Linked DNA regions of Ovis aries. The protein of the gene in region 2 purifies or fractionates together with the protein of the main gene of each other region. This does not show direct contact. Links are inferred from orthologs where the notes say so. Each region holds a gene or a part of one and is shown on either strand. Other genes may lie near its edges. The genes, in order: ATP2A1, PLN and ATP2A2.

Evidence for each region.
Region 1: the proteins of PLN (region 2) and ATP2A1 purify together in Homo sapiens (affinity purification with western blotting, with the first as the bait; 3 studies listed by BioGRID). This does not show direct contact. The link is inferred for Ovis aries from reciprocal best matches to the Homo sapiens genes PLN and ATP2A1.
Region 3: the proteins of PLN (region 2) and ATP2A2 purify together in Homo sapiens (affinity purification with western blotting; 4 studies listed by BioGRID). This does not show direct contact. The link is inferred for Ovis aries from reciprocal best matches to the Homo sapiens genes PLN and ATP2A2.

Annotation. Positions count from the first base shown.
Region 1 is NC_056077.1:26,449,571-26,453,223, forward strand, and holds part of ATP2A1 (sarcoplasmic/endoplasmic reticulum calcium ATPase 1), read right to left. Parts: intron 3,161-3,653; coding exon 3,075-3,160; intron 2,918-3,074; coding exon 2,620-2,917; intron 2,182-2,619; coding exon 2,015-2,181; intron 1-2,014. UniProt on the Homo sapiens protein: Key regulator of striated muscle performance by acting as the major Ca(2+) ATPase responsible for the reuptake of cytosolic Ca(2+) into the sarcoplasmic reticulum.
Region 2 is NC_056061.1:19,658,803-19,662,985, reverse strand, and holds the start of PLN (cardiac phospholamban), read left to right. Parts: upstream 1-1,345; 5' UTR 1,346-1,580; intron 1,581-4,183. UniProt on the Homo sapiens protein: Reversibly inhibits the activity of ATP2A2/SERCA2 in cardiac sarcoplasmic reticulum by decreasing the apparent affinity of the ATPase for Ca(2+).
Region 3 is NC_056070.1:54,282,387-54,286,039, reverse strand, and holds part of ATP2A2 (sarcoplasmic/endoplasmic reticulum calcium ATPase 2), read right to left. Parts: coding exon 3,388-3,653; exon of another isoform or gene 1-3,387.

The DNA.
Region 1 (3,653 bases), on a different chromosome or scaffold from region 2:
AAGATCCCACATGCTACGGAGCAACCAAGCCCGTGTGCCACTACTGTCGAGCTGTGTTCTAGAGCCTGGGAGCCACAGCTGCTGAGCCCACATGCCATGGAGCCCAAGCTCAGCAACAAGAGAAGCCACCACAAGGAGAAGCCTGCACACTGCAATGAGTGAGTAGACCCTGCTCACCACAACAAGGGAAAAGTTCGCACAACTAGAGACCCAGCACAGCCAATAAATAAATAAAATTATTATTTTTTTAAGGTTATTGCCGGTCACACTGAAGGTCCCTCCAGATCAATTGGTAAAATAAGAGGTGCATCACAAGATGTTCTGGGGACTGCAGCCACCGGTCCACGTGTCAGCACGTGACCCATCTACAGCTCCAGCCTCTTGCAGCGAGATCTTCCAGTTTTGCAGGAAGAACTAGAAACTCAGGTTATTTTTCTATGAAATCTCTTAACTTTTCAAATGGGGGCAATGAGTTCATTTTTATGAAACATGACAGGAGCCCAGTGGCCTGGCTTTGATGCCTGTGCTTTGGAGGGAATGTAGGTCACGCAGCACAGAGGCGAGAAGCCCACCCTGAACCAGAGCAAGTGTGGAAGGGATGGGGCTTAAGACACGTTCCAAGATAAAGTGGTTCTGCGGCCAGCAAAGTCTGGGAAAATCTGGGTTAAATAGAGGGAAATCCATCCTCTCTATGGTCAGCCTTCTCCGAGGCTTTCAAATGCCAGCAGGCCTATAGTACAGCCTTTCTGTGCCTGGTCTGAGAGGCCTTGATTCTTAGGACAGTAATTTCTATTTCACAGACATGCTAGTCTAGAGAATTGTGTTTAGGTCAGGGGTTCTTTGCCTCAGGTCCATGGATGACCCCACAGACCAAGGGATCTGTGAACTTTGATGGCAAAACAAAACTAACATCTTTTCCAGATATACCTATGGCTGATTCATGTTAATGTTTGGCAGAAACCAACACAATACTGTTAAAGCAATTATCCTTCAATTAAAAATGAATTAAAAAATTTAAAATTACGTTCCATTTTTTCTCTGATATTTAGCATTTCCGTCCAGTTATGAATGTGGGCAATGCACCACGTTAGCATTAGCAAAACCTGTGACTTGGCCACCAATAAAATCATAAACACTCTCCTATCACGTTGCATTGTTTCAGGGCTCTCAAAATAGCATTTATACTCATCCCTGCCTCAGCGTTACGGCGCTTATGAGAACTACTGCTGGACTTGCTACTTAATACATTATTAAAGAAGCATATGTGTTATCAAATCACGATTTAAAATATTTTGATTGCTGTGTTTCAATCAGTGGTTTCCTCTGTAATCCAGTGCATTTTATTTCTGTTTTTGCCTGCGCTGCCTGGCTTGACAGGATCTTAGCTGCCCGACCAGGGATGGAAGCTGGGCCATGGCAGCGAAAGCATCAAGCCCTGACCATCAGACCGGCAGGAGTTCCCAATCCAGTGTATTTTAAAAACAGGATCTTGTGTGTTTTATTTTATACACTGAAAATATTAAATGTAGAGGTCCAGACGGCTAAAGGGTCCAAGGCCCAAGATCAAGGGCCCTGGTTTAGGAAATGCCATTTGGGATTCATGTGACCAGGTTCCTCCTGCCCCGTCACACAGGACCACTCTGGAGGGTAGTCTGGTGCACAGGCAGGTACTCCAGGGCCAGATAGACTTGGGTCTGAAACTCAGTTCTGCTCCTTATTAACTGTGCATGGAATTTCCCAGAGCCTCAGTTTCCTCCTCTGGAAAACTAGGTAACAAAACCCTCCCCTGCTGGGGCAGCTGTGGGGGATTAGAGATAACACACGGCAGTGTCTGGCACATGGATGGGGGCCAAGAGAGCTGTCTGCCCAGGACACATGGGCTTCTCTGCTCCCTCTCATAGCTGGCAGGATGGCGCCCTGTGCCCTCTGAGCATTTCTTTCTCAGGCCCGTGATGAAGGAGTCACCCCACCATTTCACCTCCCATCTGAGTGGAAGTTGCCACCCTGCCCTGACCTTGCAGACAGACATCTGGTTGGTGGTGAGGGTGCCCGTCTTGTCGGAACAGATGACAGAGGTGCAGCCCAGAGTCTCCACGGAGGGCAGGCTCCTCACGATCGCGTTCTTCTTTGCCATCCGGCGGGTGCCCAAGGCCAGGCAGGTGGTGATGACTGCAGGAAGGCCTGTGGGGTAAAAGAGGGGGTGAGGGAACTAAACTGGGGGACAGAGGGAGAGCCGTGTGTGTGTGTGTGTGCGCGTGTGCATGCGTGCGCATGTGTGTGTGCATGCACGCGTGCTCAGTCGTATACAACTCTTTGGGACCCTGTGGACTGTGAAGCCCACCAGGCCTCTGTCCATGCAATTTCCCAGGCAAGAATATTGGAGCAGGTTGCCATTTCTTTCTCCAGGGGGATCTTCCTGACCCAGAGATTGAACCCACGTCTCATCACGTCTCCTCCACTGGCAGAGAGATTCTTTTAACAGCTGTGCCACCTGGCTGAAGAGCAGCCCCCAAAGATATCGGGGCCTAATCCTTGGGACTGGTAAATGTTATCTTATTCGGATGAAAGGTCTTTGCAGATGAGAGGAGCAAACGGGAGGAGACAGAGATGTCGCCCTACCCTCGGGGATGGCAGCTACAGCCAGGGCCACGGCGATCTTAAAGTAGTAGATGGCACCACGAATCCAGGAGCCCCCATGTACGGGGTCATTGAAGTGGCCGATGTTGATGAGCCAGACGGCCACGCAGATGAGGGAGATGACCTTGGAGAGCTGCTCCCCAAACTCATCCAGCTTTTGCTGCAGAGGGGTCTTGTCCTGCTCTGTGGCAGCCATTTGGTCACGGATCTTCCCAATCTCGGTGTTGACACCTGTGGTGGCCACAATGCCGATGGCCTTGCCGGCTGCGATGTTGGTGCCCTGGGAAGGGAAAGAAGAGGCAGGGAGTCAGACAACGCCCCTCGTGCTGCAGCTCACCCCCTCAGCTGTGGGCCTCATCTCTTCCCTTGCCGTCACATCTCTCCCAGACCAGGGCCCCCTGGCTAGAGCACAGGACAGCTGGCCCTGAAGGGCTCACCGAGAAAAGCATGTTCTTCTTATCCTGGTTGACAGCTCGGGGGTCGGGAACAGGTTCTGTGTGCTTGATGACAGAGACAGACTCGCCTGCGGAGAAGGGCCGGAGGGGTTTTCAGATGACGTCATGTCCTCTCAGACTTCCCGCCCCTAACTCTCTCTCTTCTCAGCCTAGGAAGGACCAAGCAACAATCCTGGAGGAAGTCTGGACTCTGAAAAGAAGCCCCTGGAGGCAGATGGGAAACTCATTGCCCTTAGAGAAAAAAGGCCTTGACCCCAATCCCTGCCTGACTACTCACAAGCTGCATGGCTTTGGATGACTTAACCTCGGTTTGCTCTTCTGTGAAACAGGGACAATGACGTGTACATTTCAGAACACAGTCTTGGTGAAAATCTAATAAGCAGATGTACGTGGAAGTGCGCTCTCAATTGGAGAGCGCTTTCGTGGAAGGGAGAGGCCCCCACCCTGGGGACCTTTTCTCCCTCACCGGAAGGGCAGGAGCTCAGGCAATCACCCTGAGCCAGCCCAGCTGGCCTCCTTGAACCACAGAGCAAGCTCACTGGCTCTCTCCCCTCTCTCCCA
Region 2 (4,183 bases):
CTTGTAAAGAATACCAAATTAAAAATGCCACAAAACTATAAAAACAAATGTAAAGAAATTAACCTAGGAATCAGACCAATCATTTACCTGGGAGGAGAAAAAAACAGGGGGAATACGGGCAAGATCATGTAACTATTTAGGTATACGTTAGTAGCCCAATTTGAGGGGACTCTCTTGGTGGTACAGTGGTTAAGACTTCGCCTTTCAAATCAAGGGGTGTGGGTTTGATCCCTGGTTGGGGAAACTAAGATCCCACATGCCTTGTGGCCAAAACACCAAAACATAAAACAGAAGCAATACTGTAACAAAGTCAATAAAGATTTTCTAAATGGTCCACATTAAAATCATGTTTTTAAAGATGTGGCTTTTCTTTAGGTCATAAATTTAGAGGTACTTATTTTTTTAACTATTAAAATATAATTAAAACTAATGAAACTAGTAATTACATAAATACAAGCAGGCTTTGCAATGTTAAGAGTATATAAAACACCATGAATTATTATGAATCAAATGAGCACTGTAAATAAAATTTAAAAAAAATTTATACAGACATTCAATTTAGGAAGGATAGGCTTATACTTCAACATTCCCTCACTCTTACTCTACAAATATATTTACACCATTTTTAAATGACACGAAAGTTATTTTCTCAATGCTGTACTCTTATCCCCCATCTCTCCCAATTATTTTCTTCCCCCACAATGAGCTTTAAAAGTTATGTTGCTTTTTTTTTAAACTGCCTATAAGATTTCTGCAGAATCATTCAGTACCACCAAGCAATCTTTCCTGGTTCCTCCGTTATTAATTCACTCATCCAATCATCCATTCAATCAGTATCTAAGAACTGCTATGAGCAAGGTGCTATACTAGGTAATAATACTATAAGGAATAAAGAGGATATAAACATGAGTTATTGGATCAGCGGAGCTTGCAATTTACTTGGGCAGATACATTTCTAAACACAATAAAATGAGATAGGTAATAATAGGGGTACATGCAGAAGTGTTTCATAAGAAAGAGAGGGCTGCACAGAAAATGTAAATTGAAACAGCACTTTAACGGGGACACAGGTTAGTAAGGAGGGCATTCCTACAAGAAGTGAGGAGGCTTAAAATAGAACAATAGCTTGTTCAAATAGCTGCAGGCAGCTGTACAGGGCCAGGGCACAGGATACAAAGGAATGTGATAAGAGACGAGCTGGAAAAGCAGGACCTAAAAAAGCAAACTAGGAGATCTGGGTTTTAGCCTGTCAGTGTTCTTTCCAAAAAGGGCTGCCCCATACAAAGACAGAAACCGCCTCCAACACAGGACTTCTTAATTTTCTGTGCCATGGACTTTTTCTGGCAGATGGCTGAAGCTGGCTGATCTGTTTTTATGTTTTTATATCTTAAAATACACAGGATATCAAGTAATTTTTATAGACACTCCACTCCTAAGGTAGGGAAGCATAACTGTGGGCTGTGTACAGTAACTTTCTTCTGGAAAGTAAAAGAAGGAAGGAGAGGGAAAAGAGTAACTTTACCATGGAGAAACTTGACGAATGCTTCACTCCAGCCAGGTGGTCCAGGTTAACAACACTGGTAAGTCATGCTGATAGGTATGTACACTTGGTATGTGGTGAAAACGGTACTCTACCTCTCTGATCTTCCTCTCAAAAACACATCAACCGGCCTCACCATGAGAAAGACAGCAGACAAGTCCCAACTGTGGACGTCCTGTAAGAAACTCTCACAGCCAAGGGGACCAAAGGACACGAGACTACTAAACGTAATCTGGTGTCCTGGACAAAATCCTAGAAAAGGAAAGGAACACCAGGGAAAACTGAAAAAACGGGTTTTGCTTAAAATAAAGTATCATCATTGGTACAACTGTTGTGATAAATGTACCATACTTGTGTAGGATATGTCAACAACAGAGGAAACCAAGTGTTGGGCATACAAGAGCCCTCTATACTATAGTAAGTAAGTAAGTAAGTGTTAGTTGCTCAGTCGTGCCCGACTCTTTGCAACCCCATGGACTGCAAGCCCACCAGGCTCCTCTGTCCGTTTATTTGTACTAATTCTGTAAATTTAGAACTGTTTTAAAATAAAAGTTGAAAAAATGAGAAACATACATTAGAAAAGAAATTACACCAAAATACATATTTAAAAAAAAACAAATTTATGTTGTAATATTTCTGCTTTATTTCCTTTTTTCTTTTCTGTCCTTCTTTATTAATGCATTAAATAATAATATTTACAGGCAGCTTAACTGCATAATTTCAAGTGATATGAATATGAACAGTATTTCAAGCTATATGCTGCAACTGTTCTATATGAAATTATCTAAGACGGCTATAGTGACAGTAAACATACAACTGAGGAAAGGCTGACTCTCATTTAGAGTTCAGTAAAAATAAAGATCTTTAACATTTTTCCTATCCAAGTTCAAAGGGCACTGGACTCTACCCCTGGGCTGTAAGAATCATCTTCAAAAGGAAAATAAGTACTAACACTAAATGGACACTGTGCTGCAAGATCTCTAAGTCATTATATACATATTTCATCTTAGGAAAATCCTCGCAACAAACCCATCCCACAGATAAGGCAGCTTAAAGAAGCCTGAATAAGGTCATATATACCAAAAATGGATTCAGACTATAGTCTGACTCCAAATGAAGATTCTGACAAAGCACCTCTAAAAACACTTTCTAGACCTTCATGGTGGAATTTCTGAGGAAATAGCTACTGATTATTCTGTAGTTCACCAAAGCTCCTAGTATACAACTTTCTGTTTAGGCAATTAGCCTAAAAGGAAGATGTAACACTTCCTAGAGCTCCGTTTAGACTAACAATGATGATCAGCAACAGCAGCTAAACCAAAGGAAAACGGCAGACACAAAAGCTCCCCACTCTTGCACAAATCTAAAAAGTAGACTTTTATCTCCTCTTTCCAACTCTAAACACATACACTTTGTTAATATCCTTCTGGGTATACATATGTGTTTTGTGTGTGTGTGTGTGTGTGTGTGTGTGCGCGCGCACGTGTTTCAACCTACATAGGCTTTTTGAGCAAATCTGCCAACATGTGAAATATCTAGGCCATATTTTATTCAGTCTGTGCTAGCTTCTTACTTTATACAAGTATTACTAATACTATTTTCTTAGAACTAGAGGTGCTCATACTGCAATGATCCATCCTCTAAGGTTCATTTTCAAATGAATGTGTAGGCAAACTTAAAGCAGACTTGCTAAAAATAGTTTGTTTTTAATAATTCATCTGTTTCCATCTTATAATTTCTTAGTTGATGAACCCTACTCTCTGAAATGCATATCCATGTTACACTATAGCTTCCCCCTCTAACATGCCAACCTGCCAGAGAATTACAACTAAGAGGTCCAAATCTGAACCGTCAGTCTGTCACTTAGCAGCTATGTCATATTTGACAAATTACTATAAATCACATCAGGGTTGTATTTCAAGTCCCTAGGTTTTGAATGTTGGTAATCACTAGCAATTGATAATAATCAGACATCCTTATTATGTAAAGATTGAAAGAAAAAATGCTTGAATAGTATACTGAGCAAAATGTCAAACGTCCATGCAATTTACTTAATTTTGGCTTTTCCTTTTAAGCTGTAAAATTTTCCCTTAGCAATGTTCACAGAGGGCCTTTGCTGAACATTATTTCTCTGATAGTTTTAGCTGATTCTTTAAATAACAAGAGATTTGTTTTAGCAAAGGATTTATCTTTCTTTGGAAGAAGCCAAAATCATCTCCATTTAAGGACACATAAGCAGCTGCTGCAAAAGATTTTAGTTACCCATAAGAAAGTGAAGCAGGCTGAGTTCACTTTGCTGTAAGCATTTTAGAAATTAAAAATAACAAGTAGCTTCTCCAGAATTACAGTCGAGATTTAAGAATCAGAACTTGGAGGAGTGGTGATTTTAAGTTAATCTAATATATAAACAAAAAATATTGGGGGGGAAAAAAAACCAAACAAATAGGAAAACGAGCCTGGTTTGTCAAAGGAATTCTTTTCAGTTCTCAGAAGTTCGAAAGATCATTTACTAAAATTTCATTTACATAGTAAATTTCAGGAAAACAACTACTGCATTAACTGAGGCACACCATTTTAGAAATACTACTTAAATTTCCAGACACATGCCCATCTACCGTCAATAAAGTAGCATTAACTAGTACG
Region 3 (3,653 bases), on a different chromosome or scaffold from region 2:
TGACTCCTGGTAAAAGGCTCTAGTTCAAACACATATAATTGGTGTGTCAAATGAGGAAAAGATTCATGTCCAAGGTCACATGCAGCAAGATCACCAATTCCTACAGTTTTTTTTCCCTAGCAGATACAACATCTAAAAAAGGAATTTTGGCAGAAAGCTCTTTCCAAAAATGTCTGACATTTACAGAAGAGGAAAAAAAGGAATAGAGAGGTTAAAGGATGTGCTCAAGGTTACACAATTATTAAGTGGGAGAGAGAAACAGGTTTTACCGATCTCTCCTATCAGGAAACTGAACTTTACCTTACTATTAAAAGTTGTGGGACCCTCAGCCATGGCACAATTTCTCAGAGCCTAAGTTTTCTAACCTCTTGAGCAGTATTACCATGTAATTCAGACAAAGTCACATGTGAAAAATTAACTGCACTAAGACTTATTAAAGCAAGCTGGCATCATTATGACTACACCATGTCACTTCTTTAATGACGCTGTTTATAAAGTGAAGCTCTTTGGTCTATACCACAGTACAAAATATTCTAAGACATTCAGAATTCTAACCCACACAAACTAAATCTGAATGCACACAGGCATTTTTAGACTGCAAGCCAGTAAGCCATTTAGAAACTGCATGATGAAAGTACCCCTAAGTCAAGGGCAGTTATGCAACCTACTGCAAGAAACCTCCTGTAGAATACTGATTAGCATCAGCTTTCTGTCCCCAAAGGTAGAACAGAACAAAGAGGCAAGCTGTTTCTTTAACAGAACATTTGAAATCAGATTATTTAAGGGAAAATATAAGAAAAAAAATCCAACATTTTGGGGGACCAAGGAAAGAAAATTTAGGAAGCTCAGTTACAATCTGCATCTACTTAAGTTAGAAGCTTGCCACCTGGACACCCGTCCATTTTTCTTTACCAACTGAGCTATCAGGATCTGGGTTTTGGACAACACAAAGAGCTGAGGGTACGTATATCAAAAAATTACCACAAATTTAAATTCAGTAAGTAAAGAGTCTGAGGGTTCAATGTATTAAAACAAGAACAATTTCTAATGCTAAAAAACCCATTATCTAAAACCCAGAGATAAGGCCAAGGGGCTGATGGCGTGCCCTCCAATGTCATTCAGAAGCGTTACTTAGCAGGCATTTAAAGACTCAGTGCGCTGGAAAATGTTCCCATTCTTTCACTCTGCTATTATAAAAGACTCATGTTTTACGAAGTTGCGGCTTTCTGTCCTCTATAAAAGATGAACTTAGTTTTATTTCTCTGTGTGATATTAACCAGTTTTTATAATGTAACACACACTAGTCCTATTCTAATACTAAGCACTTCCTCACATGTTCCTGTAACCAGTTTTACCATCTTACTGATTTTCTCTCATTGAACTAATGACCCAAACAGAATCTTCGACATGAATTTCATTCAACATTTATGAGTTGTATCTCTTTTGAAAAATCACTTTGACTTGTACAAATGATTTGACTTACAATCATCATGAAATGATTATCAGTTAGTGAATATACATCTTCTAATATAGATACAAAATAAGAAAAAATTGTTTCCTTGTGATGAGAATTCTGAAGATTTACTCTCTTAACAACTTTCACATATAAGGTACAGCAGAGATGGTGATGGACAGGGAGGCCTGGCGTGCTGCGATTCATGGGTCACAAAGAGTTGGACACGACTGAGCAACTGAACTGAACTGAGTGCTGACTATACTTATGTTGTGCACAACATCCCCTAATATTTAACTGGAAGTTTGTACCTTTTGTTCACCTTCATCTAATTTCTCATCCTCCAGACTGATAACCACAAATTTGCTCTTTTTCTGTTTGTTGTTGAAGTTTAATTGACCTACACAATGTTATTACTTCCTGGTACATGGGGTAATGATGGGATATTCCTATACATTTCAAAATGATCATCGTTAAGTCTAGTTATCATCTGCCACCATACATAGATACATTATTACTGACTGTCCTGCACTGTACATTTCATACCCATGACACACTTATTTGGTAACTAGAAGTTTATACTGTTTTTCTCATCCTTCTACCTCAAAGTTGTTTGAATAAAACCTACGGAAATCAAATTACATGAAAGAACTTCATTCAGCTGTATCATTACATTATTTCTTTATTCTGCTTAGGGCAGGTTTAAACAGTTTATTTTATCCTAAAGTGATAGTCAAAACAACATAGGAGGAAGGAAGGATGAACACAAAATGAATCAAGTTAAACTCAATTATTTACTTTTCAAGAAGAAAAACATGTTTCATTCAATGTGTTAAGGAAATACCAATTAGAATTTTATGTAGGCAGATAACTAGCTGGTTTTATACAATTCTTACTTTGAAGCTTGTATTAACATACATACACTTAGAAGAACAAGGAAATAAAGGAAGCATAGTCATCTAATACATTTACAGACTGCTTATAGTTACTTCCCCAATACAAGTGTATCACTCATGTAGATAACTTCTATCAGATAAAATTCAATTTGCTTAAAGCACATAAAAAGGTATCAAATTATAAACCAAAAGTTTTATGATCCAGCAATCCCACTTCTGGGCATATATCCAGAAATTATGAAAACTAATTTGAAAAGATACACGCACCCCAATGTTCACAGCAGCACTATTTACATCAGTTAAGACATGGAAGCAAGTAATTGTCTATTGATAGATGACTGGATAAAGAAGATGATTAGGATTGACAATATACACACCATTATATAGAAAACAGATCAATACTCTTGTAATGCCCTATATGGGAAAAGAATCTTTTAAAGAGTGAGCATGTTATGTATATGTATAACTGATTCATTTTGTGTACACCTGAAACTAGCAACACTATAAATCAACTATACTATAATAATTGCTTTAAAAAAGAAAAAAATGCCACTTGCAGCAACATGGATAGACCTAGAGATCATACTAAGTAAATTAAGTAAGACAAAAACAAATGTGATACCACTTGCATGTGGAACCAAAAAAAAAAAAAGATACAAATTAACTCATTTACAAAATAAAAGTAGACCCACAGACTAGAAAAGAAACTTATGGTTACCAAAGGAGAAAGGGAATGGTTAAAATTAAGAGTTTGAGACTAACATATATACACTATTGCATACCAGCAAGGACCCACTGTACAGCACAGGGAACCATACTCAGTATTTTTTAATAAGCTACGATGGAAAGGAATCTAGAAGAATATACACATATATCTCTGAATCACTATGCTGTACACCTGAAACCAACAAATCATTGTCAACTACATTAAAAACAAAATTTAACAAAACAATAAAGCTTTTAATGATATGAGGGCATATTCTGATGATCAATCAACAACCATAACTCAGAAAAGATTCTTAAACTACTTCCACTTACCCTGCAGACTGACATCTGGTTCGTTGTCAGTGTACCTGTCTTGTCTGAGCAGATAACAGAAGTACAACCAAGGGTTTCCACAGAAGGGAGGCTTCGAACAATGGCATTTTTCTTTGCCATTCTGCGCGTTCCAAGAGCCAGGCAGGTGGTGATGACAGCAGGCAGACCTTCAGGAATGGCTGCCACAGCCAGGGCTACTGCAATCTTAAAGTAGTATATAGCACCTCTGATCCAGGAGCCTCCATGAACTGGGTCATTGAAGTGCC